2 linked regions of the Elephas maximus indicus genome follow. The main gene of each other region encodes a partner of the protein of the gene in region 2 in a complex. Links are inferred from orthologs where the notes say so. Each region holds a gene or a part of one and is shown on either strand. Other genes may lie near its edges.

What was found. Proteins that work in one complex are often made in the same cells at the same time.
Region 1: the proteins of RAB11FIP1 (region 2) and RAB14 are in contact, whole or in part, in a crystal structure (PDB 4D0G), measured with the Homo sapiens proteins. The link is inferred for Elephas maximus indicus from reciprocal best matches to the Homo sapiens genes RAB11FIP1 and RAB14. Residues at the interface, in NP_001002814.2 of Homo sapiens: Glu1252, Ile1255, Asp1256, Asn1257, Leu1259, Val1260, Met1263, Pro1267, Asn1268, Leu1270, Arg1271, Ile1272; in NP_057406.2 of Homo sapiens: Leu28, His29, Ile44, Gly45, Val46, Glu47, Phe48, Gly49, Trp65, Arg72, Arg74, Ala75, Val76, Ser79, Tyr80.

The regions. Positions count from the first base shown.
Region 1 is NC_064827.1:71,202,061-71,212,214, reverse strand, and holds the start of RAB14 (ras-related protein Rab-14), read left to right. Parts: upstream 1-6,209; 5' UTR 6,210-6,490; intron 6,491-10,154.
Region 2 is NC_064840.1:62,783,981-62,794,244, reverse strand, and holds the start of RAB11FIP1 (rab11 family-interacting protein 1), read right to left. Parts: upstream 4,181-10,264; 5' UTR 4,108-4,180; coding exon 3,731-4,107; intron 1-3,730. UniProt on the Homo sapiens protein: A Rab11 effector protein involved in the endosomal recycling process. Also involved in controlling membrane trafficking along the phagocytic pathway and in phagocytosis. Interaction with RAB14 may function in the process of neurite formation.

The sequences.
Region 1 (10,154 bases), on a different chromosome or scaffold from region 2:
TGGTTATTCTACCTCTGTTTGTGTTAGTTTAGATAGGTAGTGTGTTTCTAGGAATTCATCCATTTCTCTAGGTTTTCACATTTGTTAGAGTACAATTTTTCGTAGCAATCTGATATGATTCTTTTAATTTCAGTTGGGTCTGTTGTAATATTGCCCATTTCACTTCTTATTCGGGTCATGTGCTTCCTCTCCTGTTTTTCTTTTGTCAGTTTGGCCAATTTTGTTAATTTTTTCAAAGAACCAGCTTTTGGTCTTGTTAACTTTTTCAACTATTTTTCTGTTTTCTATTTCACTTAATTCTGCTCTAATTATTATTATTTGCTTTCTTCTCATGCCTGAGGGTTTCTTTTGTTGTTCTCTTTCTATTTGTTCAAGTTGTAGGGATAATTCTTTGATTTTGACTCTTTCTTCTTTTTTGGATGTGTGCATTTATTGATATAAATTGACCTCTGAGCACTGCTTTCGTTGTGTCCCAAAGGTTCCAGTTGGAAGTGTTTTCATTCTCACTGGATTCTATGAACTTATTCCATCCTCCATACCTTCTATAACCCAGCCATTTTTGAGCAGGGTATTGTTCACTTTCCAAGTGTTTGATTTCTTTTCCCTGCTTTTTCTGTTATTGATTTCTACTTTTATGGCCTTACGGTCAGAGAAGGTGCTTTTTAATATTTCGATGTTCTGAATTCCACTAAGGCTTGCTTTATGACCTAATATGTGGTCTATTCTAGAGAATGTCCCATGTGCACTAGAAAAGAAAGTATACTTGGCTGTTGTTGGGTGGAGTGTTCTGTATATGTCTATGAGGTCATGTTGGTTGACTGTAGCATTTAGATCTTCTGTGTCTTTACTGAGCTTCTTTCTGGATGTTCTGACCTTCACTGCAAGTGGTGCGTTGAAGTCTCCTACTATAATTGTGGAGGTGTCTATCTCACTTTTCAGTGCTATTAGAGTTTGTATTATGTATCTTGCAGCCCTGTCATTGGGTGTATAAATATTTAATATGGATATATCCTCCTGGTGTATTGTCCCTTTAATCATTATATAGTGTCCTCCCTTATCCTTTGTGGTGGATGTAATTTTAAGTCTATTTTGTCAGAAATTAATATTGCCACTTCTGCTCTTTTTTGGTTGCTGTTTGCTTGATATATTTTTTCCCATCCTTTGCGTTTTAGTTTGTTTGTGTCTCTAAGTCTAAGGTGTGTCTCTTGTAGGCAGCATATAGACAGATCATGTTTTTTTTTAATCCATTCTGCCACTCTCTGTCTCTTTATTGGTGCATTTAGTCCATTTACGTTCAGCGTAATTATAGAGTGCTGTCATTTTGATGTCTTCTGTTGTGTGTTGTTGACAGTTTCTTTTTCCCACTTAATTTTTTTGCTGAGTAGTTTATCTTTATATATTGTCTTTTCCTCATATTTGTCGTTGTTGATATTGTTTCTGCTGAGTCTCTATGTTTTTTCTTGTATTTTATTTTGATGAGTAGGATTGTTAGTCTCCTTTTTCCAAGTTTAGACCTAACTTTCATTTCTTTATAGTGTCTTGTCTTCCTCTCCATATGAAAGATCTATGAATACATTTCTTAGTCTCTCTTCATTGTTTTAATGTTGTCTTCTTTTACATAATGACATCGCTGTTACCCTGTTTTTAGCATTTTTTTTTTTTTAATCTTGATTTTTTTTTTATTTCCCTATCTGGGTTGCTATCTGATTGCTCTGTCCAGTGTTCTACTCTTGGGTTGATATCTGATATTATTGATTTTCTAACCAAAGAATTCCCTTTAGTATTTCTTGTAGTTTTGGTTTGTTTTTTATGAATTCCCTAAACTTCTGTTTATCTGGAAATGTCCTAATTTCACCTTCATATTTGAGAGACAGTTTTGCTGGATATATTATTCTTGGCTGGCAATTTTTTTCCTTCAATGCTTTATATAAGTCATCCCATTGTCTTCTTGCCTGCATGGTTTCTGCTAAGTAGTCTGAGTTTATTCTTACCGACTCTCCTTTGTAGGTGACTTTTCATTTATCCCTAGCTGCTCTTAAAATTCTCTCTTTATCTTTGGTTTTGGTAAGTTCGATTATAGTATGTCTTGGTGACTTTCTTTTAAGATTTACCTCATGTGGAGTTCGATGAGCATTGTGGATAGATATCTTTTCATATTTCATGATATCAGGGAAGTTTTCTGCCAACAAATCCTCAACAATTCTATCTGTATTTTCTGTTATTCCTCCCTGTTCTGGTACTCCAATCACTTGTAGGTTATTTCTCTTGATTGAGTCCCATGATTCTTAGGGTTTCTTCATTTTTTTAAATTCTTTTATCTGATTTTTCTTCAAATATATTTGTGCCAAGTGCTTTATCTCCAATCTCACCAATTCTGCCTTCCACTTGCTCAATTCTCTTCTTTTGACTTTGTATTGAGTTGTCTAATTCTGTAATTTTATTGTTAATCTTCTGAGTTTCTGATTGCTGTCTCCCTATGTATTTCTGCAGCTTAAGTTTTTCATTATGTTCTTTAATAACCTTTCTAATTTCTTAAACTCCTTTATCTGTTTGTTGCTTGGCTTGTTCTGCATACTGCCTGATCTCCTTCCTAATCTCGTTCCTGATGTCTTGAAGAGTTCTGTGTATTAATCTTTTGTATTCCACATCTGACAATTCCAGGTAGCACCTTCATCCAGAAGATCCCCTGATTCTTTGTTTTGAGAGCTTTTTGAAGTGACCATGGTCTGCTTTTTTATGTGATTTGATATTGACCACTATCTCCGAGCCATCTATAAGCTATTGTATTAGTTTATTTTTGCTTACTGTATTCTAGCTTCTTGCTTTGTTTTGTTTTGATATGCCCAAATGGGTTGCTTGAGTGAGCTAGCATGATTATTTTTTGCCTTTGAAGTGCTAACGTCCTGTCACCAGGTGGCTAGAGCTGTTTTCAGGTATATCAGGCTAGAATTGTATTCACTTTTCTTGTATGGATTCAGCTCAGGTGTCCAGGTAGTTGGTCACCAAGTGTGTGGTACAGGCTCTGTCCTATGGTCTAAGTGGGGCAAGGGTGATTGGTGTAGGTACCAGTATCTGGTTGCAGCAGGGGTCATGCTCTGAACAAGGCAGGGGGCTGAGAAACATCCCCCGAGTGTCTCTGAGGAAAGCGTGTCCCTGTTCCCTAGTGCGCACAGGTGGGTGGGTTCTGCAGACTAACCATGGGTACCCAATGCTTTTGGTTGTAAGGACTAGGGGGTGCCAGTTATCCTTGGACTCGTCATGGGTGGCTGGGTGACCTGAGTGGAGCCACCAGTCCTTAGGCCCCTGATGTGGGTAAGTGAAGAGCCTGTTTAATTTAGCAAATTGGTGTCAAACATCGAACACCCACCTCTCCAAAGCACAGCTAAAACAGTTGCAGTCTGCCAACAAGGGCCTATTCTCCTAAAATAGGCCCACACAGGTCCATGCAGGGGGTAAAGGTATTCAAAGTCCACTGACTGTTTATGCCTGGACAGGAGCTGCTTCTGTCCTGGGCTCCCCAGGTTAGTGGAGCTGGGAAATTATCTTTTCCCCGAATTGTGAATGTATTCCTTCTCCAAGGCCGGGAGAATGGCTCAGGTTGCTCAACAGAATCTTTCTCAGGCCCAGGGAAATCAACAGCCAGTGAAGCTGGCTTGCAGGGTGGTGGTGGTGGTGGTGGGGGCACAGAAAGATATACCCTAGTACTTAGCTTTTGCCGAGAGTGCTGTTATTCTCTGGTTCCGGAGGTGTGAGTAGGCTGTGTGGCTGGCTATTTCTCCCTGAAGAAAATGCGGCCGAATGCTATTAGCAGCCCATCGCGGTTGCTCCCAGGAATGGTGCCTGTGGGATCCCAGCTATTCAGGTCTGGCAACTCCTCTTCACTTCTGAACCATCTCTCCCTGCCCCGTCGCTCAGTCCATTTTCTAACTTTGCCTTTGATGTTCAGAGCTCCTAGCTTGTCATGAATATAATTGTTTCACTTGTTTTTTTGGGCCTTTGTTTTAAGAGGGATCATCAGAAGCATCTGGCTACTCTGCCATCTCAGCCCCACCTCTATTTTTGTTCTCTTCCTTTATGAAATATGAGGTGCATACAGGGCTAGTGCCCTTTCAGTTGTATGCATCGTAGGTGCAAGTATGACTTTATAATTGCCTTTTTTTAAGAGACTGCATATGGTTTAGGGAGATGTATATGGGTGCCAAGGGGTGGACTGTGATGGTTAAGGTTGCATTGTCAACTTGGCTGGGCCATGATTCTCAGTGGTTTGGCAGTTATGATGTAGCTTGGCAGCTATGTAATGATGTAATCACCTTCATAATGAGACCTGATATGATGTAATCACCTCCATAATGAGATCTGCTATGAACAGCCTATCAGTTGAAAGGAAGTTTTCTTGGGAAGTTTTCTGCATCCCATATACGTGGACTTTCTGGCAAAGCTCACTAGCTTGTGCTTGCTCTGGATCCTCATCTGACCTCTGGTTCTTGGGACCTGAGCTAGCAGCTTACCTGCCAATCTTGGGATTTTTCAGCCTCCACAGCCTATGAGCCAGCAGCCTGCCATTTTAACTGTTGATCTTGGGTTTGCCAGCCCCTGCATCTACGTGAATCAGAAGACTGCAGCTTGACCCACAGACTTGGGACTTCCAGCCTTTACAATCACATGAGTTATTCCCTTGATATAAATCTGTGTGTGTGTGTGTGTGTGTATACATACCATACCATATCATACAATCTTGTCCTTGTTAAGAAACAATCCTTCATGGGTCTCTTGTGTTTATGAACATTTTGTGAGTAGAGGCACTGACTGCCCTTTGTTCCAGACTATCTTTTAGAAAGACAGTATCTCCCTCTGGGGCAAAGAACAAAATACTTACTGACTGGCTGGGCATTATAAAACAAGCCATATTTATTAAAGATTATAAGAATGGAAACAAAGACTTCTAGAGCTGGAAGGGATGTCAACATCACCTTATAATAGCATATCATGTAATAACCATTCCCATTATTTAATTCTTGTTATATTCCAGAAGTTTTGCACATCTCATTTAATTTTCAGAAGGAGCCATATAAGATACATTTTTTATTATCTCTGTTTTGTAGACAAAGAAATTGAGGGTCTGAGAAATCAAGTGACATGCCGAAGGGCATACTATTAGTGTGACAGAGCAGGGATTCATACACAGGTCTTTCTGAAAATGAGAGATTTTTAAATTACAATACATTTTTTCAATGAAAGCTCATAGGCTGAAGTAGCTTCTGAAAGATCCTGAACGCCAAAGAGCAAGCTCGAACTTCATTTTGAGGGCACTGAGGCAGGGCTGGCTTATCCACTAGGCATAGTAGCACAGCACTTAGGTCCTACACTTTTAGGAGCCCACAAACATGTTTTGCTATTAATACATTCATCTTTATATCGACACGGTTTTAAAATATAATTTTAAATATACATACGCGTGTTTATATATATATATATTTCTAGAGAGGAACGGCCAAAGAAGGCAAAAATGTCCAGGGCCCACCACCGAGGTGCGCCAAATTTTCGGGGAAGGTAATATTGGCCGACTAAATTGGAAGACGTGCAGTGGTGGATAAATTGTGAAAAATGTGGTCGCTATTTCCCTCCTCCTGTCAAAGCCCTCTCCCCCGAAGTGGGGCTAAAAGGGCAGAGGTGAAACACAGGTCAGAAAGGGCCACTTCCTAGCTGTGTAAACTTGGACAAATGATTTGATCTGAGCATCAGTTTCGCCATCGATAAAATGGGGACATGTGCCTCCTGGGGTTCTGGCCTCATCTGCCTTGCTTACCGCTTTGTACGAGGCAACCCATAAATACACGTTGAATGAATGCAGGAAACGCGTGCTTAGCAGTGGCCGCCATACAGCAAGCGTCCAGTAAGTGGTAGTTGCTGGCACTGAAAATCGTAAAAAGTCCCCAGAGAGACAACCCTAGCTCTCCAGGACCGAAACTAATCTCAGCAGGTTCCACGCGAAACCGCGCCAGGTAACTTCTCTAGGAGACGAGGCCACGCGACTGCGCTTGCGCATAAGCGCTTTTCCCCGCCCCTTCAGGCCGGAGTGCCAGGGGGGTGGGCCTGGGCGGTGACGCGACGAGTCCAAAGGGGTGGACTCAGGAAGGGGCGTGGCTAGGAGGCCGAGCCTCGGCTACCTTCTTCCGGGCTCCGCCAGCTGCGCGCGCATGCTTCTCCCCCTTCTTTTGTGGTCCGGCCCATTGCGAGGGTGACAGGAAACCCTGTGCAGGGAGCGCCGCCATCTTGGGCTAGCCCGAGGAAGATCCTGAGGGAGCCGCCGCAGCAGTCGCCGCTGCCACCGCTACTGCCGCCAGCGGGTCTACACCTCTTCGGCCAGCCCGCCTACCCGCGGGGCCTCGGCCGACCGCCCCGCCTCCTCTCCCTGCGTCTGCTCTCGTCTTCCTCGTCCTGACGGCCCCCTCCCGCCCGGAAAGCTGCCCAGCCACCAGCAACCCCCCAGGTAACCCAGGCCTTCCGCAGTGCTGGTCTAGTTGGGGCCTCCGCGCCCGGCCCTTCTGAGGGGCGGGGGCGGGGACGACGGCGAGCGGGGGCTGCAGGCGGGCGGCGCCGTGCGGGCAGGCCCTGTCAGGCCGCGGCGAGCCTGGGGTCGGCGGTGGGCGCCGCGGCCTGACGGGACTCCCCTGTGGGGCCGGAAGGTGCCCCCAGCGCTGCCCCTGCTAGAGCCGCCTTGGCCTCCCCACCCCAGCGGAGACCTTCGAGGCGCGCGGGAAGGGTGTGTTCCGACCTCGCCTTCCCCGCCTCCTGGGCCGGACTGGGCAAAATCGCAAGTCCTGCAGGCCTCTCTCCTTGCTCCGGTCTCTGCGGCTGCAGACCACCCGCCGGAGTTTATCCGCGCGTGCTGCGCCGCCTTCCAGCCCACGAGCCCCAGACGTGGCATTCCCCGTCCTGTAAGGCCTCAGCTGGCCCTGAGTACAAAAGGCAGCTCTTCTCAAGCTCGCCGGCATCTTGGACTGCCTCCGGTGTCCTTGTTGATGTGGCTAGACCGGCTCGGGCTTCGGGCTGGGGAAGGGGTCTGTGGGGCTGTGCTTGCTCACACTGAGTCTCAGAGGTTAAGTAACTTCGAGATCATTATTGGACGAATCCCTAAAAGGCCTGTGACATCCTGTAAAACCATGAGCCCAGGATGGCATCAAGAAATAAAGTTCGGCATTTCTAGAATTTAAGAAAAGAGGAAGGAACAAGCACATTTGGAGGGTTTGCAGCCTGCTGTGTGCCAGGCACGGTTCTAGGTATCTTCACATGTTTGTTTGAGCCTCACATCACCCGTGGTGGTAAGTTGAGTTTTACCCACTTTACAAGTGGGGAAACTGAGGCTTGAAATTGCGACGTGGCTGGCTAATGATGGCCCCTACAAACAAATGGCCTTTTCGCCACTCTTTGGTTGGTGTTTTGTGTATTACACTTAAAAGCTAGGCTATGGTGAAAAACATTTGAAATGCAGCTACAACTTGATCTCTTTTTTCCTATATTCAGATTGGATGCTCAGAGTCCATGATGTCAGCCACTGCGCTGCCAGTCCTCACTCTTACAACCCCAGGGAAGAGATGGCAAGATTTACATTTTATATAAAATTGGGGTTATGAGAGGGCAAGTGCTTTCCTGGTGGTCCCACAACAAGTGTCAGAGTGTAGATTTGAACTCCTTGCAAAGTTTATTGCTCATTTCATTGCTACAGCACCACTGCCTTTTATTAAGATGTGGGTATTGAGGACAATCTTGACCTAGCAAAATATATCCAGTTTCCCACCCCTCTAGCCCCCCAGCTTTTCCAAAAATTTTCTTCAAAGTTCTTTTTAGGCCATTTTACTTGGTCATCACTTGAGGCGATGCAGTGCTACATTTTTAAAAGTTTTTGCTCTTTGTATTTCCTGTTAAACTTCGTATTTGTTGTATACTATGCTGCAGAATTTGGAGCATTCATACAACTGAGTTTTATCAGTTTTCAAATATCTTAGCACAATCTTAGTAAGATATTGTACTATTAGAAGGAACTTTTTGTTAAGGCAAATAAGATATGTTAAAACTAAGGCTAATGAGAGATGTTTCATTTTTTAAGAATGCTTGAAACATTTTTATATGATTAAAAATGCCAAACTTGGTTGCAGACAGTGATTTACAAATAGAGGTATCAGAGATTCTTCACTTTTTAAAAACTTTTTATTCTAGAAAATTTTAAACATGTACAAAGTATAATGATGAGCTTTTGTATATATACCCATTAGCCAGTGTCAACTGTGCTCAATCTTGTTTCGTCTGAATACACCTGCTCCTCACTCTCGCTGAAGTTATTTTGAAGCAAATCTCAGACATATCATTTCATTAGTAATTTTTTTTTACTGGTACTGTGTAATCCTTTTAACTCTGGTAGTCAGTGCAGATCTTTTTTTTTTTAAGTGCTTTCCTTCTTTGAGTGGAGGTTAAGTATTGGAGTACTTTATTCCCTACTCAGCATGCCATCATAATCAGCTGGAAAACTTTGTCTCTTGATACATGGAGGAATCCAGTTATTTTTTCCTTATTTTACAATATTAACTTATATAAAGGTATGATATTAAATATCAAAAATATTTTTTTAAGTGGATCTCAGGTGTAGGTGGATTATTTTCAGAAGGTTGTACTGCTGTTGAGGAAAGGAAATTGAGTACTCATTTTGATTAGATTAGAAAATTAGATTAACTGCAGCTTTGTGTCCACCTAACTGATAAATCGAGTAGCATTCCACTTTAGTGGGCCTACAAGCAAATCAAAATGCATTCTATCCTTGAGCTCCATGAAGACAGGGACAGTGTTGCTTTATTTGCACGTTACTGTATTATTAAGGCTTAGCACTATGTTTTGTGTTTATTAGATGCTCAACAGTATTTTTATGTTAGACTCACAAAAGCAATCCATCTTGGATTTGGTGTTTTTAACAAAATGTCTTTCATGTAAAAAAAAACTTACTAATTTAAACAATGAGGATAAGAATTTAAGTCACCGCAACTATTCGGTGGGTTGCTTTTTTCTCTGTTATGTCTCGAGTTGGCTATGTAAATATCATATGTTCAGTACAGTAACATCATGTGTTCTGAGGAGTAGAATAAAATAGCTATATAACAGTTGTGAAAGGATTAGGCATAGTGCATAAGTAAACACAGTGAAGAGCTGAACTATAAAAAAAATTGAAAATATACTGTTTCTTTTTTTTAAGTCAGTCATCTGATTGGCTTCATATTATGTTCTCCGTATTATTGGTAAATGCGGAAATAATGTTGGCAATATTATGAGTGGGAGTTTCTTTTTTTTTTTTTTAATTTTAAAAAGTATTATCGAATGAATATAGTACGTGTGTATTATAATTGGAGGCACCTTGGTGGCACAGTTGGCTAAACACTTGGCTGCTAACCAGAAGGTCAGTGGTTCGAACCCACCAGCAGCTCCACAGGAGAAAGACGTGGCGGCTGCTTCCATAAAGACATACAGTCTTGGAATAACCCTGTGGGGCAGTTTTATTAAAATTAGTGCAGAGATGTATAAAGAAAGTCAATAATTTCCCCCTTCCCTTTTTTCTACTCTCGTCCTATGTATTCATCTTAATTTGTTGTGTTTCCTTCCATACAATATGCATATAGGGTTGAGTGTGTGTGTGTATGTGTATGTTTAAAAATGGCATATGCTGTTGCATAAAACTCTGCACCATGCTTTTTTTCCCTTAAAATCATACTTCCTGGTTAAAGCATCTAGACTGAATTTTTAAAAACTAGGTGCATATTATTTCATGGTACAGATATACTTTATTCAGTCATTTCCCTGTTCATGGGAGTTTAGATTGTTTATAGTTTTTTTGCTGTAAAAGTATTGCGTTAAATGCACTTGTACCTGTAGCCTTATGTACTGCACCTTTTTGCTTCTGTAGAATACTTCCAAGTGGATTTCAGGGCCTCTTTGATTTTGATTTTTTGCTGTTATTTCGTTAGTCTATTTTCGTATGTCTTTGGATTATTCTTTTTTTAAACTTTAAATACATTTTCCAAAATGTTTCAGCAGTTCAGACTCCCACAAGTAGTGTGTGTGAAAATGTATCATCATATATGTACCTGCACTTTTCAAAACTAGTCATTTAT
Region 2 (10,264 bases):
CAAATAATACCGTGGAAAAACATCTGGGAGCATCTTTCGCACCACCCAGGCCATGACTTTGACTTTCTTAGTCATTTCCTTCCATTGCTATAAGCAGGTTAGGGTTGCTTATCCCAGAATCTACAGAGAACTGTCCTGGGCATTGAGCTATCAGTTTCCTATACTAGGGTGGGAGGGAGCTATGACCTGGTGAGAGGTGTGACTGGTTTCCAGGTAGGCCAAATGTTATCTTTGAGGCGAATTCCAAGAAAACAAAAACTTAACGGAAACATGGCTCTTATCTGTTACAAAACCTTAAACATGCTTAGGAAGCGGAAAGGTATACGCACAGACACCAGCTACTTATAGTTTGTGAATTATAGATCTCTGTGGTTATCTAAGCCGTTTCTCTGCATCCAACTCTCCCAGAAAAACATGTCTAGCCTTTATTTCATTTTAATAACCCAAATTTCCTTTGGCAACTTATTTCGGCATCTCACTACATCACACTTCAAGATAGCCAACCTTGACGATATCCAAATCCTTTCGTATCAGGCGAATTTCCTCTTGCAACTTCAATAAATATAAGAAAATGACCCTCCATAACTCACACTATCTCTTCATATCTGGAAGACTGTTACAATATTAAGTCTCCATTCAAATATTTGTTTTAATCTGTCTTTCACAACTATTTCCCCACACCTCCTTGCTCTACGTGAACTATATATAAGACTAGAGAGCTAAGCAGAGAATTCTATATGTTGGTCACTTGATTCTGCCCCCCAGATTCGTGTCTGCTTTGTGACCATGGTACTTATTATGCTGACTCCCATTTAACCAAAGCCCAGGTCTTTGTAACAGATGTAGAAATGCAGAATCAATCCATTCTTGTTTTTTCTAACTACGGACCTATCTGTGTATTAACTAAACGTTTCCTCTATACAGATGGCGGCTTCTGTTTGATGTTTTAAAGGTGTGTGTCATCATACTAAATTTAAGGTCTGCAAATTCTGAGTCATGATAGAAAGCATAATCTCCTGCCTCCAAATAAATGTGACAGGCAGAGGCTTATCAAGAGAGCAAAGAGAAACATTAACATAGTAAGCTCTTGAGTTTCGGCTTCTGGAATCATGACAAATCTCAGTCTCTTACAGCAACTCTTCTTTGCTAGTGATTAAGACACACACACACACACGCAAACACACACACACACACCAGTTCAAGAATTGAGCTTTTGTCTCTGACTTTTAATGTCTGCGGAGGAGTCAAACCATTAATAGCTAGTTCAAATGACTTTTCTAGCCCAACCAGTTTCTTTCAGTTAAACTTCCGCCTCTCTAGTGCTACTCCAAGTCAAAGTGTGCATATTTCATTCTCTAAATCTCAGCTATCTCAGGCACCCAGGTGATATAATGGGGCATCAGAAAGGCTTCGTTTAACTGGGGTGTCCCAGAACCTTGGCAGGTCCCAGGAAGTGAAGAATGGAAGCTTGCAATTCCACCTAGTGGTAAAGAAACAAAGAAGTCCTTTGCAGTTATTAAAAACCATCAACTAAGCACCATCTCCCTGATAGTCATACAGTAACTTCAGCGGTAATCAGCTCATAAAATAAGAGTAGCCATCAAAGATTACACTGAAGAGGATGAGAAAAGTGAAGGTGCAGAGACTGAACTCTTCCTGAAAAAGGGAGCTTACAAAGGTTTTCATTCCTCACAAACCAGTTACAGAATCTTTTGAATCTATACACTGGTCCCTTTAATCCAGGAAGCCAGAAACGTCTTACAAACATCAATTAGGGCTGGCAACAAGCTTCCTTTATAAATAGGAAAACTCGGGTGTTTAAGAGACCAAGCAGCCTGAAGCCCAACAATTAGTCAGGACCAAAGCTGGCACCAGACCCAGGAATCTGGAATCCCCATCTCTGGCCGGGAGATGAGATTCATCTTTCAAGGGGATAAAATGTTCACAGAAGAAACAGATAGCTGTGATGAAAGTTAATATCCACACATCCTGGGGCAGGACAAGATAAAGGATGGTCAACAGCACCCAGATGAAGTTGAAAAGGATGCCAACTTATCATTCCAAACGTCATTTAATCAGATGGAAAATTAGCATTGCTTCAGCCCCTCTTGAACGATGACACTGCTCACTTTGTGGCTTGTAATTTGATGCCAAGAGATACCCCATCCATCTTCACATCAAGGCTCTCTACTTTTTATCTGCTTTGAGTTCAGAAGTCTTTTCATCTTTGGCCAGATAAATGAATCAGGTATTGCATTTGCAAACATGCATGCTCAAACTGGACTCACCCTATAGAACAGGGAGCCTGGTAACTTCAAATCCTCTAGCTTTTCCTATCTCCCTTACAAGGGAAAGTTAAAATATTAGGTGTATACAAGACACACAAACTGAATCAGTGTACTTCATAAACTGTAGAATTTAGGTGGTGACCTGATTGGCTTGTATATTTAAGGTCCAAGAAAGTGTCCCAACTAAAATCAGCAAGGCCAGCTTTTGGTATACCAAAAAAAAAGAAGAAGAAGAAAAAAACCAAACCCAGTGCCTTTGAGTAGATTCCAACTCATAATGACCCTATAGGACAGAGTAGAACTAACCCATAGAGTCTCCAAGGAGTGGCTGGTGGTTTCCAACTGCTGACCTTTTGGTCAGCAGCCAAACTCTTAACCACTGCGCCACCAGGGTTCCTTTGGTATACTAACTAGATGAGAATAATTATTGAGTGTTCCATTGGGTTAAGCATTGCCCTTTCCAAGCACCTGTGAAAGAGAACAAATAAATTGGTAACACACTGGAGTGAACTGGGTTTTGACCAGCTTTCTGTGTGGGAAACAGATACCCTGACACAGAACCCTTGATGGGGGAGATACAGATGAGCAGCCATCCATTAGGATTAAGATCACAGAGGGGAGCTTGACAAACTCCAAAGAGAAACAATGCCGGCTTCCCAGTTCCACTTGGCCAAGGGGTGACCCTGGCTCCAGCCATCACTGGGAAATTTTTAGTAATATGAGGCCCAGGGTAAACAGGGTTAATATTTTTCAGCCTAAAAGGAAAGACTAAACTCTTCTAGCATTCTCCCTGGGCCTCAGGCATTACCGCGCCGGGTGGGCAGTGGGTTAGCTCTCACTGGGCAGCCTGCATTCCCCGTGTCCCACCCCCACCCATCCGTACTGTAATGCCTCTACTCTGCCCCAGGGCGTCAGTGAGTCTCAATTCTCCAGTTAATCCCCACCGCCCTGGCCCATCCCTTAACTCCGAGTGCCCAGGCCAGTGAAATACCCAGGAGACTTTCTACATAAATTAATAATCGTATCACATATCCACACGACCCACATAAGGAGGAATTCGCCTGACCTACATACATTTTCGATTCATCAAAAAGTCATTAAGAGCTTACTATGAATGTGCCAGGGGCTGAGCAGCCTCCTGCAGATTTAAAATTCCCCCAGGTGCCGCCCCTACTTTCAAGGAGCTCAAATACAGGGAAAGCTAGGGCGCACAGCCGAAGAAGTGAAGCCGGGTGAGAGTAGGAGTATTGGTAGAGAGGGTCCCTCTCGAAGAGCTTCTCTTCGTCCGTGCCCTTGAAACACGCACCGTGACTGTCGCGCTCACTCTAAAAGGGTCTCAGCGTCGAGGCCGCATGTTTCTCCTCCCTCCCACCCCGTGTCCCACTGCCCCAGGGGCCCGCGCCTTCCTCCGCTGCCTCTCCCCTCCCCCGGCCCGCACTCACTGGGTCTTCCTGCGGCCCTGGTCCCGGTGCAGCTCCCGCAGGTCCACCTCGGCGCGGCCCAGGAACTTGTCGAGGCCGAGCAGCGCGCGGTGCAGCACGGTGAGCTGCAGGGTGGAGGCGGCCGCGGGGGCCGCCCCGGAGGACAGCAGCGGCGGCAGCTCGAAGGTGGCTTCCTCCCGCCACACGGGCGCGCCCAGGGTGCGCTCGGACACCGAGGTGGCGTACTTCTCCTTGCCCACCTGGATCACCGCGTACGCGTCGCTCGTGCCCCCGGGGCCCTTGGACCGCAGGCCCCGTGCCTGCAATACCGTCACCTGCACGTGGGTTGGGGACCACAAGGACCCCGCGCCCCGGTCCGCCGAGGCCGCCAGGGACATGGTGACGGCGGCACAGTCCGCTCGGACGTGAGACGATCACCGCGACCCGCCGCCTCAACGGCCCGCCCTGCCGCCCCGGCAACTTTAAGGCTTCCGGCCACGCCCCCGCCAGGGCCCTCCTCTCCCGGCCACGCCCCCGCCAGGGCCCTCCTCCCCGGCCACGCCCCCGCCAGGGCCCTCCTCCCCGGCCACGCCCCCGCCAGGGCCCTCCTCCCCGGCCACGCCCCCGCCACGGCCCTCCTCTCCCGGCCACGCCCCCGCCTGGGCCCTCCACTCCCGGCCACGCCCCCGCCAGGGCCTTCTTCCCCAGCCACGCCCCCGCCAGGGCCCTCCTCTCCCGGCCACGCCCCCGCCAGGGCCCTCCTCCCCGGCCACGCCCCCGCCCCTTCCCGCCCCACCTGCCCGCGCCCCAGCCCCGCCTCCGCCGTCCGGGGTGCTTGGGGCGGAGCTGGTGCGGCTGGGGCAGAGCGAGGACAGGACGTGGAAGGCGCCCGGGGTTCGAGAATTCGGATCTGAGAGGCGGTGGGTGAGCGATGGGGTCGCAAGCTCCGCTGACTTAGTAGTCAGACCTCATTTCCAGTCTTTACATAGCCATTTGGTAGGTGTGTGACCATGCGCAGATTAATTAGCGACTTTAAGTCTCAGCTTCTTCGTTTGTACAATGAGGTAACGATCGCTGCATTGAACTGTGGAGGAAAAAATAATGCATTACCGTTCTCAGCACAGTGCCTGGCCCACTGTGAGCTCTCTATAAACTCACTGCTCTTTGCCACTTCTGCACGCCTCGAACATTGCTCAGGAGGAAGATAGGCGCCGGGTGGATGGGGAAGGAAAAGGCTTATTTCTGGGCCTGAAAAGGGAAAAGTAAAAAGCCACCACCCTGCAGTGTGGTCGGTGTAGGCGTGTCCTATTTTGCCCTGCTCTCACCGAATGAGGTGAAGCTAAATTAGGCGAAGGAAAGACAGGATGAACCGAAACAGGATTGCCAAACCAGTCATCAGGGCGAGGGGCTGTCCCCAAGGTTCCCCATTTCTCCCTCACTGGGGCCCTTGGGTGGGGCCCTCTTAGTCTCTCCTTCCTCTTTGTCTCTGGGCTCCAGGTGAGACACGTCCTTGTTCTAAAATGTCCATTAGACCGGCCTCTTTCCTTTTTTCCCAGTGCCCTAGCTCAAAGGCTCTCCAGTCAGTTGTCAGATTCAGAAGGTCACTTGGAAGGTTTTTAGGTTTTACAGGTAAGGAAAAGCCCAGAGCAGAGAAGTGACTTGTTCAAGATCTCACTAGCTCAGGGGCAGGACTAGAGCCCAGGTCTCCTGGCTCCCAATCCAGTGTTTTTACTGCATCCCTTGCTTCTTCTAGATTGTCAGAACCCCAGCCTTGGGTGGCTGCTAGTCTCCCTGCTGGTCTCCATGCACTCCCCCCTCCAATCCACACTGCCACTTGCCTCACTGACCTGCTCAGTATCCGACAGTGACATCTCACCACGTACCTACCACACTAACTTCAGACTTAACAGAGCTTTGGAGACATTCCTATTTTAGCCCCACCCTAACTCAAGTCTCCTCTATCTCCTGAACAAACTAACCTGTAGCCCAGCTAATCTTCCCACCTCCAGGCCTCTACTAACTTTGTTGTTCCCTTGGCCGCCCTTGCCAAGTGCTACCCACTTCAAGGCTTCACTCAGATTTCTCCAAGTTTTGATTTCCTGTAGCCCCTTTGAGGGAAGGGATCAGATGATGACTTACTTATATGAGACCTTAGCAGAAATCTGGGTACACAGGTACTCAGGAAGTGCTGTTGAAATGAAGAGTTTGCAGATTATTCCAGCCAGCCATGAGTATGTAGTAAAGATTACAGACTAGAAAACCCTATGGGGCCAGTTCTAGTCTGCCTTATAGGGTCGCTATGAGTCAGAATTGATTTACGGGATTGGTGTTTTTGGCTTTTTACCATGCAAAACATTAGAGGGCAGACAGTATTGCCTCAGGTCTGCAAACAAGGGCAACTACTGTGTGGGAAAAGCCCCTTTGATACGTTGTAAATATTTAATGGTGATAAGGAGGAAGAAAGAAAGGCGGCACCAGACATGTAGGAGGCAGGAAAATCTAACAGAACACTATTGTTTTGGTACATTTCCCCTTCTTTAAGATCCATTAACTTCATTCAACCTCATGGCTGAGTTCAGTTCCACAAAGATTTATTGAGAAATTACTTTGTGCCAGGCATGTGCTAGAGGGCACAAAGCTGAAACAGACCCAGTTCCAAGGCACTGTATGCTACATGCTATAAAGGAAAAAAAAAAATAGTGCTATCGAGTCTTATGTAAATAAAATGTTTTGAGTATATTGGAGAGAGAGCAATTTCTCTGACTGGGTAGATTTTTATAAAGGAAATGGCATTGAGCTGGGCCCTGAAGAATGTATAAGATTTAACGGATATGTGGTATACGCATACAATGGAATATTACTCAGCCACAAACACAAGGTTCTGACACATGCTCCCACATGGATGAACCTTGAAAACATTATGCTGAGTAAAATAAATCGACACAAAAGGACAAATATTGCAGGATCCCACTTATGTGAAATATCTAGAATAGGCAAATACACAGAGACCAAAGTTTAGTCATAGTTTCCAGGGGTGGGTGGGAAAGGGACGGGGGAGGTATTGCTGAAGTGGCACTCAGTTACCGTTAAGAGTAATGGAAAAATTTGAAAATGGATAGTGGGGATCGTTACACAACCTGGTGAATGTAATTAATGTCACTGAACCGGACATGTAAAAATGGCTGAAATGGCAAATATACGTATATATGCATATATATAGAGAGAGAGAGAGAATCACAATTAAAAAAAAGGAAGATTCGGCAGACAGAGAAGGGATGATAGAGGAAGAATATTTCAGGAAGAGAGAAGAGGACAGCCTAAGCCTAAGCAAAGGCTTGGTGGCTAGAGAGTTCATGGCATGTATAGGGGATAGGAGTACTCCATATTGGCTGGAATGTAGGCTACTTTTGGAGGATATTGGTTCATGAAGGTAAGATAGCCAAGATATGTGGGCCCAGATCACATAATCATGAACACCAGGCTAAAGAGTTTATGCCTTACCATTAGGCCAGGGTGAGCCAACCTTCAGAAGATTTTGAGCAGTGACATGACCAGCTGTGCATCAGGTTGTAAGGCAGGTGTGAGCAGAAGTAGTCCAGTGGCCAACAGTAGGGCAGGTCACAACCAGATACCTTCATTCTTTTCACCTGGGGACTGTCTGCCTTCAGCCCCAGCCTGCCCCACCCCTTACCCATCCTTGGTGTCTAAGTTGATACTAAATTAAATATGACATACATTTTTGTTACTGATTGAATTGTGTTCCCTAAAAATACATGCTGGAATCCTAACCCCTATTCTGTCACTGTGGGTCACTATGAGTCGGAATCAACTCCATGGCAATGGGTTTTTGGTTTTATACCTGTGGATGTCATCTGTCTGTAAATAAGGTTTTCTTTGTTATGTTAATGAGGCCCTATTGTTGTAGGGTATGTCCTGAACCTAATATCTTCCCAGTTATGAGGAGCAGCATAGACACAGAGGTAAGCAAGCACAAATGGGTAAAGATGGATGCCACTTGAAGATTGCCAAGGGAAATGTTGCCGTGACTTTTTACAGTCAATATACAAGAGGCTGAGTTGGGAGATCAGAAAGATGCCTTTATTTGATTGCGCAAGGAAAGAAGCAATAGGGGCTGTTGCCTCCAAGACAGCTCACAGGCAGCTTGGGGAGGTGGGCTTTTACAGAGAGCAGACAAGGAAATGCAAATTCATCATGAATATTCAGAATTGACCTTCACAGGGGCGCTCAGAACTTGGGAATGACTAGGCATTTTCATTAGACAAGGGTTCAATTCTCTGGGATGAACGAAGAGGTGATTTTCCTTCGTTAGCATGTCAAGTCTGCACCTAGAGGTAGGTTGAGGCCATCTGTGGCCCATTCCATGGTTATCTTGTTAAGGACAACTTCAGAAGAATGTGCATCTTATTCTCCTGGATGTAGTAGGATAAGCCAGCACAGGTGTCTTTTAGAAGGGTTGGGCTCTAAGGCTGTCTGCCTCAAAACAAGGAATGCTGGAGGAGACAAGGACCTCCCCCAGAGCCACAGAAAGAGAGCCTTCCCTTAGAGCTGGTGCCCTGAATTCGGACTTCTAGTGTCCTGAACTGTGAGAAAATAAATTTGTGTTCTTTAAAGCCACCCTCTTGTGTTTTTTTTAATGAATACTTTAATAGAAAATCAGCCAAAGGGTATGAACTGAGAAGTCAGAAGAGAAGAAATATGAATAGACAAAAAACATGGTGAATCAATGTTTAACTCTACTAACCTGATATTTTTGTTACAGCAGCACTAAGAAACTAAGACCATTTTTCTCTTGGCTGTGTTTCCTATTTGTCCACTGTTCTACTGTGTTCCAGCAGGGCAGTCATTGAACAGACTCCAGGAGTAAACTTTTCAGCTCTGGTCTCCCTTCCTTCCTGACACTAGCAGTTTTAGCGGTGCTCTCACAATAAACAGAGCAGGGAATGAAACAGCCTCACAGGCTGAGTATGAAATGAAACATCTTTTCTACTCATGGAAAGGATGACAGGACAAGGAAGAGCATGAGAGGAAGGAAAAATTATTAGCACCTTGTGACCTCATGTGTTTGGGTTTCTGTCAGACGCAAATAGACTCCGTGGTTAAAGTGGAGGCGGTAGGTTAGGGGAGGAGAGGGCTGCCTCACCACCCTGGAGAAACCCAGATCTTTCTTCTCTAGATCCTGGACACTGGCAGGGATTAACTCAGAGGAGTGGGACTCACTGGAGGCAGAAATTGGACATTTGTCAGAGAAGCACAGGACTTGAGTCCAAACCAGAAAAACCCCACTGCCATCCAGTCAATTCCATAGGACAGAGAAGAACTGCCCCATAGGGATTCCAATGAGCGGCTGGTGGATTTGAACTGCCGACCTTTTGGTTAGCAGCCAAGCTCTTAACCACTGTGCCATCAGGGCTCTTTGGACTTGGATCAGAGCTGGCTTTTTGCCCTCTACACTCCTTAGTTGTTTTTTCTACTCTCCTCCAGGCCAGAGCACATTGTCCCTCAAGACTCGCTCACAGACCACCCTGGAGTAAGAGTCTGTCTTCTATCAGTTTTACAGACCCACAGTCTGGAATGGGGGGTGCACAGGCACAAGGACGATGCCGGCCACTGCAGACCCTTGTTCTGTGGCCCCCCCATGGAGGCTTCACCTCAGCTGCCCCGCGCACCCTCTCCCCTCTGCCAGTGGCCCCAGGGGCGCTGAACCCTGCAGGCTCTCTGAAAGCCTGGTGTTTGTAAACACCTCCCACGGCCTGGGTGCGGCAGATGAGTGTTCTTTCTTTCTACCCTGCCCCGCCTCGCTCTCTGACTGAAAGAGGAAAAGAGTTTCAGGCAGCCCTGAGCACACGGACAAGGTGCCTGGCAGGTTAGACAGGAAAAGCTGCCCTTCTCCAGTGCAGCAAAGCAGAACGCCCGGCTTCCAGCCCCTGGAACGGTCCGGTCCTGGGCCTTTCTACAGACAGCAGGCAGGATGCACAGGGCTGCCATGCTGTGCCTTCAGGGAGGCCTTATTTGTGTTGGAGCGCAGCTGGGAAGAGTTTTCCTCAATAAGAGATTTTGGAAGGCCATGCTGGGGGTGGAGGGAGGAGGCAGAGGGAGAGTCTTCCATGGCCCTGCTGGCTGCCAGTCACCCCTCTCCACAGCTTTTCCTTATCCCCCAGCTGCAGGAACCAGAAGGCAAAGATCATTGCTGGGGGCTGTTGTTGCTAGATACTGTGTAGTGGGCCCCATGGTGACCCCATTCACAACAGAGTGAAAACCTGCCCAGTCCTGGGACAGCCCCATGATCAGTTGCAGATCAGGGCATTGTGATCCATAGGGTTTTCATTGGCTGATTTTTGGAAGTAGATCACTTCCAAAACGTAAGTAGGAAGTAGGCCTTTCCTCCTAGTCCATCTTAGTCTGAAAGCTCCATTGAAACTTGTTCAGCATCATAGCAACACCCAAGCTTCCTCTGATGGACAGGTGGTGGCTGCAAATGAGGCGCACTGGCTAGGACTCTCCAGTCTACTCATTGGCTAATCTATTATCCCAAGG